Arabidopsis thaliana: one gene and its partner. The protein of the gene in region 1 purifies or fractionates together with the protein of each later gene. This does not show direct contact. Each region holds a gene or a part of one and is shown in the gene's direction. Other genes may lie near its edges.

Evidence for each region.
Region 2: the proteins of AT2G20420 (region 1) and MSD1 fractionate together in Arabidopsis thaliana (co-fractionation; one large-scale study listed by BioGRID). This does not show direct contact.

The regions. Positions count from the first base shown.
Region 1 is NC_003071.7:8,803,412-8,808,915, forward strand, and holds AT2G20420 (ATP citrate lyase (ACL) family protein), read left to right. Parts: upstream 1-1,930; 5' UTR 1,931-2,162; coding exon 2,163-2,261; intron 2,262-2,444; coding exon 2,445-2,555; intron 2,556-2,637; coding exon 2,638-2,749; intron 2,750-2,846; coding exon 2,847-2,911; intron 2,912-3,006; coding exon 3,007-3,084; intron 3,085-3,193; coding exon 3,194-3,268; intron 3,269-3,374; coding exon 3,375-3,527; intron 3,528-3,610; coding exon 3,611-3,745; intron 3,746-3,834; coding exon 3,835-3,999; intron 4,000-4,085; coding exon 4,086-4,208; intron 4,209-4,297; coding exon 4,298-4,447; 3' UTR 4,448-4,760; downstream 4,761-5,504. Other genes in the region: AT2G20410 (RNA-binding ASCH domain protein), read left to right, coding at 1-14, 109-648, 742-783; RIC6 (ROP-interactive CRIB motif-containing protein 6), read right to left, coding at 5,256-5,504. UniProt on the Arabidopsis thaliana protein: Succinyl-CoA synthetase functions in the citric acid cycle (TCA), coupling the hydrolysis of succinyl-CoA to the synthesis of ATP and thus represents the only step of substrate-level phosphorylation in the TCA.
Region 2 is NC_003074.8:3,416,217-3,420,525, forward strand, and holds MSD1 (manganese superoxide dismutase 1), read left to right. Parts: upstream 1-1,723; 5' UTR 1,724-1,798; coding exon 1,799-2,093; intron 2,094-2,571; coding exon 2,572-2,618; intron 2,619-2,698; coding exon 2,699-2,824; intron 2,825-2,935; coding exon 2,936-2,992; intron 2,993-3,111; coding exon 3,112-3,189; intron 3,190-3,272; coding exon 3,273-3,365; 3' UTR 3,366-3,676; downstream 3,677-4,309. Other genes in the region: AT3G10915 (Reticulon family protein), read right to left, coding at 1-51, 229-298, 402-543, 640-820, 1,161-1,240, 1,373-1,488; AT3G10930 (uncharacterized protein), read right to left, coding at 4,012-4,309. UniProt on the Arabidopsis thaliana protein: Destroys superoxide anion radicals which are normally produced within the cells and which are toxic to biological systems.

The DNA.
Region 1 (5,504 bases):
ACTTAGAGAATAAGGTAATCTTGCTGTTCTTCAAAGCCTAGGGATTGGTGGGTTCTTGTTGTAGTATAAATTAGTACCAGTTACTTACTGTATTTCTAAATGAAACAGATTTATGTAGCAGCAGCTAGAGGTCTTATGCCTTCTCAAAACTCTTTTAAGGTGAAATTCCCTCTTCCTGACCCAAAAGACCCGTTTTCCTTAAAACCTGGTTCTATTCCTTGTACAATGCAAGAGAAGAAAGAACTTGATTCAAAGCAAGTTACCAGCCTCACAGCTGCAATCAAGCAAGTTACCAGCCTCACAGCTGCAATCGCCGGTGCAAAAGCAGCGGCGACACAATTTTCTAAGAAGGGACAAAGTCTCCAAACAAATAATATATTTGATTACACAACAAGAAGCAAGAGCAAAGTTATTGAAGATGAAGCAGCAGAATCCCTAGATAACCCGGTTCTTGGTTCTGGTGGAACGTCTGACCGTACTTATAGAACAAGAAGCAAGAACAGAGGCACACAGATGGGTGAAGAAGTATGTAGTGAAAGCAGCAACAGCAGCAGCAAAGTTGAATCTAGTCAAAGAAGTGCAGTCACAAAGAGTGAGGACAGGAATACAAGAATTGGTGAAAGAAGGTTTGATCCTGGATCTGCCCGGGTACGTTTATTATCTTACATTAAGCGATAATTACAACAATAATTGTTGACTTTGTTGTTGTCTGATTTTATTTCACATGTGGAATTATTTCAGATCATGGCCGCTGCAATTAGGAACTTGAAGCCACCTTCTTGATCTAATGCGTCAAGGTTGTACCATATTTTGCATTCTTTCTAAAACATGTTCATTTCAAAGTTTGAGAAGTTCGTTTTAGAGTTAGTTTATAGGTTTATTGTATACACATTCAATTTAACTTATATGAGAGAATAATCATGTGGACTAATAAATACACAGAGCAATGAGTTTTGAGTAGACTGTTTAGTCGAATTTTACTAAATTACTATATTTTGGTCAGATTTAGAAGAATGTTTATATTTTTGGGGGGTTTGTCCCACATCGGTAGTTTCAAAATATCAGTTGTGTATATATTTAGTCGAAAACGAAAACAAGTAACAATAGTCATTGGACAAAGTGAATGGGTCACATGGGCTTGTCTAAGTTCCGACCCAGGAAAGTCCCCGGGCCACTTTTCGCAGAGATGCGGCCTCGGTAACGAGAGAATCATGCGGTGGAGAGATTCTATAAGCTGAGACGCGTGTGTGGAGCTTCTGTTGTCTCTCCGTCGATGACATCATGGCCGTTCGATTCACGACAGTTATTCACTTGGTCCTCATCGGACTAACTGAACGGGGCTTATGTTCCAATGACAACAATTTTTTTCTTTTTGAGTAATCCCGGTTTACTCAACTTACTCAACCGTACCGGTGGAAGATTCCTTACAGTAATACTAAAGCTTTTGGCTTAGCTCATTTTGGTGATGATAACAGTAATATCATAAGTACATAATAAATAATTGAAACTTTTGTAAGTATCCTCATTTTTTCAGAAAGTAAATAATATCAAATGTATTGAGAAAACAATAAATGATCATTTTTTTATTTTAATTAGACTCAAAATTAAATAACTGGAAATTAAAAAACCAAATAAACTGAAAATTATTATCTAAAATACAGTAACTAAAAATTTGTCTTGTCGATAAGTCGGATAAAATTTATTCATATAAATATTTAGTCATATACAAGTAAAATAATACTACAAATAATACACAATCAGTCGATGTTATATACAATAAAATTATAGATTTATAAAGGAAAAAATTATCCGGCGATATATCTGATGTCAATCTCTAGTGGGTTAGCATTTTTATTGAAAAATTGTATTGCTTAGTTTTTTTATTGTTATATTGTTAGTGAATTAAAATGGTACTTTGGTATTTTCATATATAGACTTTTTGAAAATAAAATCTTAGATTTTTTCTAACAAGAGTTACCAAAAATATTTTGGAATTAAATGAGCCGGCGACATAGAAGAATAGAGAGGGTTAAATTGAAAATTCATAAAGTAGGAAAAAATTAGGGTTAGACTCGATCATTCATAGCTGCGACTATTCTCTGCTCTTTCTACATTTTCTCATTTTCTCTTGGGCTACTTTTCGACTACTAACAAATCCAACGATGAGGGGATTGGTGAACAAGCTCGTGTCCAGATCTCTCTCCATCTCCGGGAAATGGCAGAACCAACAGCTTCGTCGTCTCAACATCCACGAGTATCAGGTTCTTCTTCTCTTCATTTCCATTTGATAGTTGCCTAGATTCGCTTTTGTCAAGTCAGAATTCGAGTACGATCTGTGTCTTTGTCTGTTGTTTCTGTGTTGATCCACTGATTGATTTGTGGTTGATAGAATTCTCTGGGTTTAGGATAATGTAAAGTTTGTATTGTGATTCTGATACAACCAGGGAGCTGAATTGATGGGGAAATATGGAGTTAATGTGCCGAAAGGAGTAGCTGCTTCTTCGTTGGAAGAAGTTAAAAAGGCTATTCAAGATGTTTTCCCTAATGAAAGCGAGGTAAATTCAGTGAGGGATTCGATTCTAATCTCTATTATTAGTTGTTGTCTAATTGAAAGAGTGTCATTTTCGTGTGATACAGTTGGTTGTTAAGAGCCAGATTTTGGCTGGTGGAAGAGGTCTTGGAACATTCAAGAGTGGTCTTAAGGGTGGTGTTCACATTGTTAAACGTGATGAGGCTGAAGAGATTGCTGGTATTGTACAGGATTTCTTGTTTGTGGCTTTCTGGAGTCTGTTTTTTGTTGTTGTTGTACAAGTTATTGATCTATTTCAAATCTTTATTACTTGTAGGAAAGATGCTAGGACAAGTACTTGTCACCAAGCAAACTGGTCCTCAAGGCAAAGTAGTTAGCAAGGTTTGTTATCTGTTATTCATGATTGGTGTTTTTTCTTCTATTATTGTCACTGCTCTTGCACCTTTGTTTATTCATTGTGTCTTCATTTTGAGCAGGTTTACTTGTGTGAGAAATTGTCACTCGTCAATGAGATGTACTTTTCCATTATTCTGGACCGTAAATCTGCTGGACCGGTATGCTACTACGCAAATGATGAGCTGCTGCTATTCATTTCCCTACTTCTAGGCATGCTGTTTTCATACCCTGCTGTAATATCTAAAACGCTTTCCTTTCCTATATCAGTTGATCATTGCCTGTAAAAAGGGTGGTACCAGTATTGAAGATCTTGCTGAGAAGTTCCCTGACATGATCATCAAGGTTGTTACTGTTTGATTCGTATTTGGTGGTCTGATCTCCAGTAAATATCATTCTGAGATTCTTTCTCATGCGGGTTTTTGACACCTCAAGTCATGGTTTTGCGTAGGTACCAATTGATGTATTTGCAGGAATCACTGATGAAGATGCTGCTAAGGTTGTGGATGGTCTGGCTCCCAAAGCTGCTGACAGAAAAGATTCGATTGAACAAGTGAAGAAGCTATACGAACTCTTCCGCAAGACTGACTGCACAATGTTGGAAGTGAGTTCTCTCTCACTGTCTTTTTTCTACACACTTCTTCAGTTATAAATATCTTTTGTTGAACCTCCAAATTTCTCTTGTAGATCAATCCCCTTGCGGAGACATCAACTAATCAATTGGTAGCTGCTGATGCCAAATTGAACTTCGATGATAATGCTGCGTTCCGACAAAAAGAGGTTTTCGCCATGCGTGATCCAACACAGGAGGATCCACGAGAGGTCTCTGTCTATCTCTTGTATCATCAAGAAAGCCATTGTTATGTTAATTCGATAGGATGTTAAAAGGAATAGTGTGTTGTGTCTCATAGGTGGCTGCTGCTAAAGTTGACCTGAACTACATCGGTTTAGATGGAGAGATTGGTTGCATGGTGAATGGTGCTGGATTGGCCATGGCAACCATGGACATCATTAAATTACACGGTGGAACACCCGCCAATTTCCTTGACGTTGGTGGAAATGCTTCTGAGCACCAGGTAAAAGGAACCTTCTTTCTTTCTTCACTTTTGGGAATCATTGGAATGAAAACCAATTTTAATAGAGGTTTGTGTCAAAAAATAAGGTGGTGGAAGCGTTTAAGATACTGACATCGGACGATAAAGTGAAAGCAATCTTGGTGAACATATTTGGTGGGATAATGAAATGTGATGTGATTGCTAGTGGAATCGTGAACGCTGCAAAAGAGGTGAGTGAGAAACAACCTTGTTACCATAATATTTCATATATTCATGATTGAAAATAAATCCGAGTGTTTGTGTGGAATGGCGAGGACAGGTCGCATTGAAAGTGCCAGTGGTGGTTCGTCTAGAAGGAACGAATGTTGAGCAGGGAAAGAGAATCCTCAAGGAAAGTGGAATGAAACTCATAACAGCTGATGATTTGGATGATGCAGCTGAGAAAGCGGTTAAAGCTTTAGCTCACTAATCTCTCTATATATACCAAAAGCCGGTTTGTTAATTGTTTTGTGGTTGACGCCCAATTTACACTTTCTTGCGGATATCATTTCCTCAAACAGATCAATAATGAACTGGTCTCCTTTTTTTGTGTGATCCATCCAAAGAGATTCAAATCAGAATTCTCAATATCTTTTTGTATTTAACCAACTCATATGGTTGATACTAGGGTTTCAAGTTTATCTCATACGTACTGTTCCTATCATGAATAAAAATCGTTTTTGTGGGAAGCCACACTATAGCTGTCACTGAAACAACAAAATTAATCCCTCTCTCTACAAAAGGCTTTCACAAAACAGAGCTGTCCTCTGTTTCCAATTTAACGGTCAAAACGATAAACTTATTTTTTGATAGAATGTTAATTATATTACCAAAAGGAAAGAAGATTATTTACAAAAACTTTTGACCAGGATTGCAGCTCCATTGTTGTAGTGATGCAGCTCTATTGCTGAGGGCTATGATGAAGAGGAAAATCACACTAACACTACTCAGCTCTTGTCCAAGAAGTTTTTATTCATATATAGGGTTTCTAGTAAAGTGAAAGATGCTGTTGATTTGTTCTGTAAGAATGCTCTTTTATATTTATGATCGACGTCAATGATGATCTATGTTCAAGTGATTTGGATGATAGCACCGAAAAATATTTGTCTAAATTCTCCTTGCATAGTTAATAATAGTACAAGAATGAACAAGAAAATCTAACAATTGGTGTGTTGTGTTCAATGAAAATTAGCCATTTGGAGCTAGCAGCAAAGTCTCTATATATGTCGTCTCTCCTTTCAAAAATCATCTCTATTGTCGAATTGAGGCATAGATCTCACAGAACCAGTCTCAGACATATATTCCGACATGTTATCGACATCAGATCTTCTTGTCGATCTTGATGACCCTCCATTAACCGCGGTTTCTTTCGTCGACTTCTTCTTCCTCCTAGATTTCTTTGGAATTTCCGGTAATCCACTAGGCCAAGAAGACAACTCGTCTTGTTCTTCAGTGGCTTCCTTTGGTCTCCTCGACGATGACGATGT
Region 2 (4,309 bases), on another chromosome or scaffold:
TGCTTTGATATTTACTGTACAAAGCCGGTATTGTTACAGATAGGATGGTCCCTGTTCACACCATAAAAAGTATAAACTTCATATAAGAATTTGGTTCACTGAGTTTAAAACAACAATGTCGCAGGAACTAAAACGAGATCAACAAGCCAACGTGGGGGATGAAACTGAAGGATCAAAAAACATAGAAGCTTTTTCCTTTCATTTGCATTTAAGGATCAAGTTACTAACCGATGTAAAGAAGAGTGCAGAGAGATATATAGCTACCAATGGCAGAGAGAAGCCACAGACAAATCACCACCTGCTAAAGAAAAATCGTCAGACCAACAGTTCAGATGCTTAACGGTTCCCATGTCATTTCACTCAACATCATCGTGAGTTTCTGAATGGGTTAGCTTCATAACCTTGAAGAAGAGTCGAAAATCGTTGCCAACTGTGACATCATGAGCCATTACAAGCAAGTGATTGAGTTTTATACGGAAAGAAGCTGCAGCACTATTCACCATTTCCTCTGATAGAACAAGCTCTGGCAACGAATGCAACTGTCTGCTTATAAAGAGATAACAGGTAGAAATCATCACTAATCAGTCACATAACAGCAAAGAATTAAGAAAAAGAAGACTAGTGAAAAGTAGAGCGCACCTATTCCTAAAAGCAGAAACCCGGGCATGAACGAATGATATCATGATCACGATGAGTAAGACATCCGAAGAAACAGATAAGAAAGGCAACCCGGAAAACTCGAATATAAGCCAGGCTACAGTTGATATAATGATAACCCCCAAAGAAAGATGTCGCCTCCTCCATAAGAGCAAGTCAGCAGCTACATCAAAGAACAAAGCCATACAAAAATCACAAACAGTAGCTTTTTGCTGGACCTATGAACTCATCATGCGTATCCAGAGATTTGAATCAATCAATTTCTCATTCAAAATCAAACCTAAACCTAACTTTCACCTGCCAAGTTTTCCATTTTCTACTATACCCAAAATGCTAAATGTACTTACACACATGACGATTTTCACAACCAACCAAAATCAGAAACCCTAACTATTCCAACTATCATCCCCAATTTGAATTTTCTGTTCTGTAAATCCGAGAAAATTCTCATCACAAACTACCAAAATGATGAAAAAACACAAATTCTGGAAAAAAGAACTCGCCTTTGCCACCACCCATGAACTGATGAACCGTAATCTGCCGACCCAACAATCGATAATCCGATGACGATCCTCCTTCATTTCTTCCATCGAAATCACCATCGATATCACTTAAACTATCCATCGGAGAATTAAAAAAAAAAAACCGAATTTACACAAATTCTCCGACTTCCAGGTTCCTATTTCGATCTCGCCGACTCCGATTTGAAATTTACCTTAAAGATACGATCTCAGTACAATGGTTTGTGAAAGCAGCTAGATTGATGGGAGAATGACAGCGATTGGGTGGATTATCAAGGAGGAACCAAATAGAATTGGCTTTCACATGCATCCAACAAATTCAACATTTGGAAATTCTCCGTTTCTAGTCAACTTTCTTCATTTCTTTATTTTTTTCCTGTGAACAAACAAAAAAGTAACATTTAGCCGTCACAAAATATTAAAAATTACGCTTTATTATATTAAGGCCTTGGGCTCACTAATCCAATATTACGGCCCATAAATAAAAATCACATGTCTACGTGTCAAAACAGTCACTTTTCTCTATACATGACAGGCAGTGATATTATCATAACCCTCCACTTATACACATGTTCATTTTTGGCGACCACTAGAAGGAGAAACAAATCTTCATTCCAACAATGGCGATTCGTTGTGTAGCGAGTAGAAAAACCCTAGCCGGCTTGAAGGAGACATCATCGAGGCTATTGAGGATCAGAGGGATTCAGACTTTTACGCTTCCTGATCTTCCTTACGATTATGGCGCATTGGAACCGGCCATTAGTGGAGAGATCATGCAGATTCATCACCAGAAGCATCACCAGGCTTATGTTACTAATTACAATAATGCTCTTGAGCAGCTTGATCAAGCTGTGAACAAGGGAGATGCTTCCACTGTTGTTAAGTTGCAGAGCGCCATCAAATTCAACGGCGGAGGTGTGTTTGTGTGTCTGACTCTCTTTTTTTTTTTTTTTTACGATCTCGATTTCTATGTGTTTGATCGATTGGTTTGTGTTTAGATCGTGTTTGGATGATATTAGCAAATGAAGTAGTTGATTTAGGAGAGAAATTTGGTTTGAACAGTGAAGCTGATGAGTAATTTTGATGAATTGGGATGAAACTTCTGTAAGAATCAATGAAACTTTTATCGGTAATGCAAGCTTTCTTAGATAGCTACTTTTGTTTGCTGGGTCTTGAGATCATAACCAGTTGATTTAGTATAGAACTTTTGTTAGGAACATTGAAGCTGTTGATTAATTTTGATGACTATAGTTTGGTATTAGGATTGTTGCTTCTTGAGCTCCGGACCGGTTGGATTGATAGAAGAGAAATTGGCAGAGAAACTATTGGAAATAAATTGAGTTTTTTGTGTGCTAGAGAATGGGAATTGATCGACTTTATTTCTAACGTGCAGGTCATGTCAACCATTCGATTTTCTGGAAGAACCTTGCTCCTTCCAGTGTGAGCTTGTGTTTTGAGTTTCTGTGTATTTCTTCGATTTTGTTGTTCTGTAATTGATGGTTTGTTTTAATGTATAACAGGAAGGTGGTGGAGAGCCACCAAAAGGATCTCTTGGTAGTGCCATTGACGCTCACTTTGGCTCCCTTGAAGGTCTGGTGAAAAAGATGAGTGCTGAGGGTGCTGCAGTGCAAGGCTCAGGATGGGTGGTCTGTAGTCTAGTTTCACCTTTTTATTTCATCTGCTCACATTGTCGACTCTGGTGCTTTACGTATAATAACCATGGTCCTTGATTCGCTTGTTTCTGTTGATTAATTCAGTGGCTCGGACTAGACAAAGAACTGAAGAAGCTAGTTGTTGACACAACTGCCAATCAGGTAACTTATCCATGATCAGGAATGCGCTATTGAATATGTTCAAAAGATTTCTTGGTACTCATGAACATCTGTGAGAATAATGGGTTTTAAAGAAAAAGAGTTTGTTTCGGTTGGTGCAGGATCCATTAGTGACAAAAGGAGGAAGCTTGGTACCTCTGGTGGGTATAGATGTTTGGGAGCACGCCTACTACTTGCAGGTAACAACACTTTTGATACCTTAAGTCTCATGAGTTAGCTTAAAAGATTAAGCTCTCTAATCAATCTGTATTCTCTCATTCAGTACAAAAATGTGAGGCCTGAGTATCTGAAGAATGTATGGAAAGTGATCAACTGGAAATATGCAAGCGAGGTTTATGAGAAGGAAAACAACTGAATCGTTTACACGATGACATAAGGAGATGAACCAGTTCCAGCTCAGCTTTTGTTTTAAGGTTGTCTGAAACAAACTTACAGTGTCTCTTTGGTTTTTAAGATTTGCTCAACTCAGCTGTGTGGTACGTTGTTTTACAATGAAAGTTTTCAAGAATAAAAATTTGCTATTATTGTCAGAAAGCGCTATTGTTTATTCTACGAAGAAAACAAAACGGAATCTTATTGGTATAATAATTACCTCATTTCAATAAAACAATAACTAATTTTCTCGTTTTTCACTACTCGACACATATATGACAGGAATATTATAACGAAGAAATTTGGGATTAATGAAATTTGTGAAATAATGCATACACACTTGTGTAATAAAAATGCATTATCTTTGTGTCTGCGTTGTGGAAAATGGATCATAGTCAAGTCTCATAAAAAACGCGTTCAATTCAATTTATACATATTTCGCCTAACTTTTGATTCTTTACGCCTTGGCCCCATTCTTATCTTTTAATTTTATCTCTTTCTTGGAAGTTACCCAAACACTAATACAATGTCAATTCAAATGGTATCCTTGACTCTTTTATGCGTTTAACTTAAAAGACTTTCTTAGTCTAAATAAAATTGATACATAATCATAGAAATTAAAAAGCTGATTAACGTTTATCAAAGAAATATTGATGAAACGATACAAGATGATAGTCTAAGTCTTGATCATTTCGACTTACATTACCAAATAAAATCCTCATTTTTCCTAAACTTCTACTGTAAATTTCTGTAATACATGTAACATTTACAATAATCTCTATTTGAAAACGAAAAATCAAAGAATCTCTAAAGAACAAAAAAAGAAAGAAGTAAGAATTAGGACAGAAAACTCTAGAAAGAATAGTGCTAAGTCTTGACGTCGTTAGTTTTCTTGCTGGGTCCAGACCCCGGACGACTCCCTTTCGG